Linked DNA regions of Stegostoma tigrinum. The protein of the gene in region 2 binds, or shares a complex with, the protein of the main gene of each other region. Links are inferred from orthologs where the notes say so. Each region holds a gene or a part of one and is shown on either strand. Other genes may lie near its edges.

Evidence for each region.
Region 1: the proteins of myo3b (region 2) and espn are in contact, whole or in part, in a crystal structure (PDB 5ET1), measured with the Mus musculus proteins. The link is inferred for Stegostoma tigrinum from reciprocal best matches to the Homo sapiens genes MYO3B and ESPN. Residues at the interface, in XP_017174528.1 of Mus musculus: Arg1223, Arg1224, Gln1226, Gln1227, Pro1228, Lys1229, Met1230, Leu1231, Ser1232, Ser1233, Asp1236, Thr1237, Met1238, Tyr1239, Tyr1240, Asn1241, Gln1242, Leu1243; in NP_997570.1 of Mus musculus: Leu35, Ala37, His41, Arg45, Ala67, Asn69, Ala71, His75, Asp76, Ala79, Thr80, Asp101, Ser103, Leu110, Arg113, Phe114, Thr135, Thr137, Ala139, His143, Tyr144, Ala147, Thr169, Asn171, Tyr177, Leu178, Gln181, Ala203, Asp205, Met207.

Annotation. Positions count from the first base shown.
Region 1 is NC_081381.1:19,872,775-19,876,695, reverse strand, and holds the start of espn (espin), read left to right. Parts: upstream 1-974; 5' UTR 975-1,224; coding exon 1,225-1,518; intron 1,519-3,921. UniProt on the Homo sapiens protein: Multifunctional actin-bundling protein. Plays a major role in regulating the organization, dimension, dynamics and signaling capacities of the actin filament-rich microvilli in the mechanosensory and chemosensory cells.
Region 2 is NC_081360.1:50,928,328-50,932,248, forward strand, and holds the start of myo3b (myosin-IIIb), read left to right. Parts: upstream 1-1,217; 5' UTR 1,218-1,359; coding exon 1,360-1,415; exon of another isoform or gene 1,416-1,495; intron 1,496-3,921.

The DNA.
Region 1 (3,921 bases), on a different chromosome or scaffold from region 2:
AGGTCACTGGGGTAGACCAGGGCATTGTGGATTGGTGGGTGGAGCAAGGTGTTGGACAGATTTCAATGGTAGGACATGTATTTTAAAATTTGTGGGTTAGAAACACTCTTGTTGGGTGTAGAGTTTATTTTCTTGAAATGTTCAGAGCCATCAGTACCTACCAGGGATGATCAAAGTACCATTAAGCTGGATGAATGCAATTCTTTCAGCTCAACTGAACCACCTGTTGCTGTTCAATTCAGAGTGAACATTGCACCAGGATTGGGTGGTGGAAGGAGTCGTTACGGGGATGGTGTGCGTTTGTGGTGAAGTGGCAGTGTCCTTGCCTCTGAGCCAGGAGGCACATGTCCAAGTCCCACTCGAGCTATGTAGATTTCAGAGCAGGTTGTTTGAAAACAAAAACAGAAATTGCTGGAGAAATTCAGTGGGTCTGGCAGCATCTGTGGAGAGAAAGCAGAGTTAACATTTCCAGTCCAAAAGAGTTCTGAGTTTACGGTTCTCCGAACCCCTACACCCCAGGCCTCAACTTCACCTGGACTGTTACCAAAACCAACCCTTTATCAGCCACTAATGGCCCACATGAGCAGCTATTGGTTCTCCCCGGCTGACCTCTACCCATTCCTTTGCCAGCCCAGGTGTTTTTCTACCTCTCTGGGCTCCATATCCACCCTCCCCATCTTCAGCAATGTACACCAAACTTTTTCCTAGCTAAAATCAGTTCTGAGGAAAGGTCGCCAGACCCGAAACGTTAACTCTGATTTCTCTCCACAGATGGTGCCAGACCTGCTAAGTTTCTCCGGCAATTTTTGTTCATGTTTTGGATTTCCACCATCCGCAGATCTTTGCATTTTTTTTGTTGTTGTTTGGGTTGTTTAACATAATCTATTGACAAAGGGCAATTCAATGAAACGAAATTGAACTGTGAATCCCATTCAGAACCTTGCCTCTGTCTAACAGGCTCCTGTTTAGACTCTCACAGTAAATTCCAGGCAGTTTCCAATGAGAGTAGCGCTTCCCGTTTCCCAGAACTTTGCCTAACCTGGTGCCGCCTCTCTCTCTCTCTCTTATGGATTATTCAAATCTCTTGTCATTAAATATTCAGGATGGTTCAGCCCAGTGGGATTTACAAAAGGAACAGACGCAAGTGTAAAATGGCCACGCCAAAGAAAGTGAAAGAGGTCAAGTCAATCTGGGAATTAGTGATTTGAGGAAGAAAACCTCAAAATGGTTTTGGACCGCTCGCTGGTTGCTGCAAAGAACGGGGACCTGCTAACGCTGCAGGATTTGCAGAAACAGGGCTTGATCCAACTGAAGGTAACCGACCATCTCGGAGCGACTCCAGTCCATCACGCCGCTCGATCCGGCCAACTGAGCGCCGTGAAATTCCTGGTGGAAGAGGCGAAACTACCCGGGAATAAGCGAGCCAAGAATGGGGCTACTCCGGCACACGATGCAGCGGCCACCGGGAATTCGGTCTGTTTGCAGTGGCTGCTCACTTCAGGAGGCTGCCACATCCAGGTAAAGGTCTGGGGGCGGGGGCGACAGGGTAATAACATTGGGGGCACGAGGGTGGGCTTGGCTGAGTCGGCCAGGAACAAGGGGGCAAAGAGGTTCAAAGTAGGGCAGGAGTGGGGTGCACTGGGGGCAGGACCTCAGAGCAACGAAATAGAAACTAAGGCAGGAGCTGGAGGCAAGGAGTGAGATCAATGGGATAGGAGTTGGGGCAATAGGATGAGGGCTGGAGACACTCAACGGTTGTAAAGTATCTGTGGCATTGGGACTTTGGAGTAGGATGTTGGGGGTAGATTAGAGTTGGGGGAAATGGGATATGGGAAGGAGCATTGGTGGCTGGAAAGTGTTTCCAGGAATAAGGCTCACTGAATGGAGAAATGTCATTAAAACTTTTTAAAATCTTGCCATTGTATGACACTAACTTATAGTTTGCAATGGTATCTGTCGATGGGAATAAATCCTTTCACAATTTTGTGTTTCCCAATGATCATAATCATGTTGATTATAATTTGAATAGAAGCAAAATCATATACAAGTCTAATTGTGGTGATTTCTATCCCACCTCCAAATTAGATCCACAACAATTTAATGGGCTTTATATTAATTTTAACTGTTATGAACACTTCTTCTCTAAATGCAATGAGTAGAAGTGAACTCTGCCCTGATGAAGCTTGTGGTAACTTCAGAGTTACAAACATTACAAGTTCGATAGTTATTCCCTGATCTCCAGTTGATCTGATTTCATCTTGGACAAAACAAACACAAGATCTTTCACAAGACTGAAACTTCTGGAGTTTGTTGTCACATCTGAGCTCTTACACTGTAATGAAAAATGGGAGAAACAGAGAAACCACTTGCTTTTTTCCTCATGATGATACCTGCTGTTTTCAGTCACGATGTTTTGTTCACTTGCATTTCACAGATGTTTGGAATATTTGCTTGCATGTTGCATTTTACAATGCAAATTCAACGTCCCACTGTATATCTTCTTTCTGTCCTGCTATTCTCCGCTGTAATCCTCTGCTCTTGGGAATTGAATTGCTACTAAGCACTAAGTGACTCTTCTAACTCACTTGCAAATAATTTCCTTCTTCCACTCCTGTCCCTTATTTATGTGCTCTATCTTAGATATTAATGAATTTTTTTCCCTATGTCTTTTCCCATCATTTTGCAATTTCCCTCTACTTTTTCATTTTCTCTATGAACCTCATTTTCACCCTTCTGTTATTTATTCACCTTCATGTCACTCTTATTTTCAAATTTCTATGTCCTCTATCATTTATTCTCTCAACTTTCTCTCACAACTAAGATAACGTGAGGAGAATGATTAATGTTAAATTGGACAGTTTGAAAAAAATATTTGTGGTCTGAGAATATGGAATGATTACGAATTACGTAGGATAACTTCATGTTTCCAGCATAGAAGCAGGCCATTCAGCCTAACTAGGCTGTGCTGGTGTTTATGCTCTTACCAAAACTCCTCTCTCCTTATCTTGTTTAACCCTATCAAACTGTCCTGTTCTTTTCCATCTTAAGATGTTGATCCAGTTTGTACTTAAATACATCTTTGCTTTTCGCCTTAACTAGTCCATTGTGGTACCAAGTTCGGCATTCTAACTAGTTGGAGTTGTTACATCAATGTAGAGGACTTTTCTCAACATCTGACAGACTTGCAAATGCTTGGCGTTAGGAGCCCTAAATGGAAAGTCTTTTCTTCATAATTTCTTAAATGATGCACACATCTCGTCAGTCGGAATGAAATTTGCTAAGGAATCAGAATTCCTACCTACTACACACAATTTTCACACGGGCGCTTGATGACATCTGAAAACTACTGCTGTTAGATTAAAAATAACTTGGGTCTTAATTTTTATCCACCATCTTAAAAATAATGCCACGAGCTTCCCCAGCCCCAATCTGTTCAGAGCTATTTTTTGAGGAGGGAGGATTGAGGGTTGCAGTTTCCAAGCAGCAGATAGCCAATCCCATCTTGTTAATGGCTGCCAGGAATATCAAAGAAGGCTGATGGATTTTCCAGCAGGTCTCCAGTTTAGATAGATGATGGGCATCAGCTCAGCTGCCTGGAGGCAGACTTTCAGTGGGAGACAGGCTGAGGCTGGGCTGGTGATTGAGACAAGCCTATGCTAGAACGTCTGAGCAATGAAGGCAAGCATGCTGCCTTCTTAACCACCCAATATACCTCTGGGTCTTCCTAGGTGCAACAGCAACCAAACAGCAACCATTAGAGGAATGCCCATACCCCTTCACCCAAACCCCACCCACCAAAACCTGATGCTCCAGCTGTAAAAATGATTTTTAATTTAGACAAAGAGATTGGAGAGTGGGTGCTTTCATTTTGAAGTGCTTCATCCTTACTCACCTTTCATTGTATCCTTCAAGCTGAAAGGC
Region 2 (3,921 bases):
TTAAATTGGTGGCTCAGTAGTTAGCTCTTCTGTCTCTGAGCTGGAAGACCCAGCGTAAAATCTTGCTCCGGGTCCTGTTGAAAACTGAACAACTGCTGCACAAAAGCCAGTGTGTGTCAGTGCCAGCTCCCCAGCTTGGATAAATGGGATGGATTAGTGGCAAGAAGGACATCTGGCTGTACCAGCACCTGCCAAATCTGAAAATGATACTGACTTGGAGAGAGATCAAAAAGAAATAGGGTGATCCCATGTATCATGGGAACAGCTAAAAGAAGGAAGGATTGAGCGCTAAAACCTGGCCAAAATCCCTTACCATCTCTTTCTTCTAAAAACAAAAACAGCATGGAATCTTTTAGAGCCATCCTAGGAAGGCAGACAGCCATAAATTTAATATATCTTTGTTATTCAACTATGCAGCATTTTGTTCATACTGTAATTAACTTGGATCACAGATATTTTAGTCAACTTTTTCATGAAATGTTATGATACATATCTGAAACAGGTGGGACTTGATCCTGGGCTTTCTAGCTCAGAGATAGGGATTCTACCACTGTGCCTCAAGAACCCCTCAACCCAAATCGCATTCTTCCTCTCCAGCGTGGGACCTGACCATTTGATCTTTTGATTTGGAAACAAAACTGCAAACTGAAAGCAGTCACTAAATCAAACAATGATTACCTTCAATACATACAAGGTGAATCTCCTTGGAGATAATGGCAATAGCCATTACATAGGAATGGCATGTTTACATTAGCTGCTCGCTGAGCAATAAACAGGGCAATGAAGAATTTACGACTCATTTCTGTGTTTTATGAGTATGTACAAACACTATGACTGGAGAAGTTATGATTAAACTCGAAAATAATTAAAACTGTCACTTTATCTTCCTATTCCTCCCATAATTTATACACATCTTTCAGCAATTATTATAAATTCCAAATGCATGGCAATAATTCTCCCCCGGCCGGAATCACCAGTGGTAAATTCTTTGTAGGCTCATCAAATTCTGGTAAATTATTAAATGTAAGATGGAGTTGTTCACCTACGAGGCAGCTGGTTTCGGCGGTCACGTGCAGCAGACAGGTAGGAGCCAAGTGGCGCCTCTACTGGATGCGCCTCTCGAATGGAAGTTACTGGCTCTGGGGACGTTCCAAAGCGGAGAGCATGACAGGCGCGCGCCGGGGAGCGGGCACGCGCACACCGAGCCTGCCGTCCTCGCTCCAGTCAAACTGTACCAACTCTGTTCCAACTTCTGCAAAATCCTTCTTCTGAGGCGACTTGTTTGTTTCGAGTTTAACACCGGGAAACCGAAACAACAAGAACCTGCCGGATCAGGGTAAAACTGGTTTCAGAATTTGGATGTTTTTATCTCTTGCTGTTTCCTTTACTTTGAGGTCTTCATCATTTCACGCCAGGTATGATCGACTTAAGAGATTGCTTTCAACTGTTTGAGGTACTTGCATGTTTCCCAAAGGTTCGTGTTATATATTAATAATCTTACACAATTTATTAATTTGTGTGCTTCTTCGTTGCAAAATTGTGCCAGAATGTTGCTGGCACGATATCTAGTGGGTGGACCTGTGAGTCAGAGGTCTGTGCCAATGGTGATATTGATGGCCCACCCACCCCATTCCAAATTTAGTAGCAGTGTTGGGGGAAGCACCTGAGGCCCTCAAAGTGACAATTAAGCTCAAATAAGGGCAATATCCCACTGTAGCTCTTATTTAACAGGTGGTGAGACATGTTGGTGCTCAGCCTGTACCTGGTATGTTTAACCATGTGGGCTGCTGGCTAGTTAGAGGGATGGTTCCCTCTGGATGCCTGGTGCCCACGGTTTTGCTTTCCGATGTCAACCCTCGGCCTAATCAACATGCCAAACATCAACTCCATCCTCCCCCTGCCAGGGGTTGCCAGCTTCTTTTCGCTGAGGTCGTGGATGTCCTTGCATGCCTGAATGCATTGCAGAATGCCACCTCCTTGGCCAACTACAGTACCAGCAATGTCCACCCATCCTGCTGGAGCAGTTTGTATTTAGGGCTGCCAGACTATAGACCTAGTGCTGGAAAATGGAATTAGTGTAGAATTTGTATAGGTTTGGCGTTACAGATTCAATGAGATGAAGGGCCTCTTCTGTACATAAAGTTCTGTCATTCCACGACAAGACAGAGCTTTCTCCTGGACACTGATGGAAGTCCTGCCTAACACTAATTAAATGGCCTTAGCCAAAAAAAAACTTTTAAAGAAACTTAAAGAAGGATGAGTTTGTTAAGATAAGGTGAGTACTTAAGAATGTAAGTGCCTTTTAAGGATGAGATTTACATTCTTGTAATGCTAATAAATCTATTGATTCCTGGAAGAAAACAAATGAAACTGTGTTGGCAAATGGCAGAGAAACTGAAAGGCAGATTAGAACATGAGATTCCTGCATGCAGTTGTTCTCCATAAGTCCTCCATATTTTCTTTTGGGAAACATTTTAAAAGTTTTGATTTTTTTTCTAACTTTCCCATTCCATCTTTTTTCCTCTCTTTCTCGGTTTCACTTTCTTTGTCTAATTTATCTTAAATTCAACCTATTTCTTCTCCATCACTCCTGTTTCTGCCAATTTTTTTGTATCTTATTGGTTAAGAAGATAGATTTTTAGACACCTAACCCTCCACTCTGAGATGCCCCATTGATCTTGTTGCACCATTGTTAGATTTGTACTTTGAGCAATTGTGGCACCATTCTCCACCCAGCTGAAGGATAAGGAAAGGAATTAACAAACGGAGCACGTATCCTGCTCCAAAAAATGTTTGGCCCACAGTGTTAGTACAAAGGACCATCAGTATTTTCATCCTTCTTTAAAAATTAAAATTGTATAAAGCTGCCTTATAACAGGATAATTAAACAAACATACAGGAGATTGCATAGTTATAGCAGGTTGAACTGAAGGTTGAAATAAATCCTGACTGAGTTATTACTCTTTCTGTGCATTGTAATATTTGGTTTTGACTGGAGATTCTGGCCTTTGTTAGAATCACAGAAAGGCTACAGAAGGCTATTTGGCCTGTTGAATCTGGACCAGAGCCTGAAACAGCAATCTGTTAAATCCCACCTCTTATCTTTCTGCCCTTGCCCCATGGCTTTGCAAAATTTTCCCCTTCAACTACTCATTTAATTCTTTTGAAAGTCACAATTAAATCTGCCTCCATCATGCTTTGCAGTAATGCATTCCAGTTCATACCACTTACTGCACAAAAACGTTTTTCTCAAGTTGGCATTGGTTCTTTTGCATCACTTTAAATCTGTGCCTTCTGGTTATCAATTCTTTTGCCGATGTGAACAGCTTCTTACTACTCTGTCCAGATCTTTTATGACTTTAATCTTCTCCATCAAATCTCTCAACTTCCTGCGTTCCAAGGAGAACAACTCCAGATTCTCTAGCCTCTTTGTAACCGATTTCTGTTATCCCTGAAACCAGTCTCATCAACCTTTTCTATATGTTCTCTAGGGTCTTTGTAGGCTATTGGCTGTTACCTTCAAAACCTAGAATTAATGCTGCTGCGGTCTCCAGTACATTTTGTATCACTGCACTTTGCAAATACTGCATTGCTAAGTGACATGCATATTTGTTCTGTATCGATTCAGCTGCTGCTCTAACCTATCTATCCAGTTGCAACCTGTATCAGTGTATACCTGCCTTGTATCAGAACAAAAGGCAACTCACTGAGATTGGAAACAGCCCATGAAGAAAGCAGAATAGTTAGTGGAGTATGAGCTTCTCCCCATATGATGAAGGTCAAAAGCACTCACTCCACTCCCACTCTAGAGCTTGAGTGCAAACATCAAGGCGAGTACTCCATTGTAAGTATTGATGGAGTCCTGTGCTGTCAGAGGTGCCATTTTTCAGGTGAGAAATCAACCAAAAATAATCTGCCTCC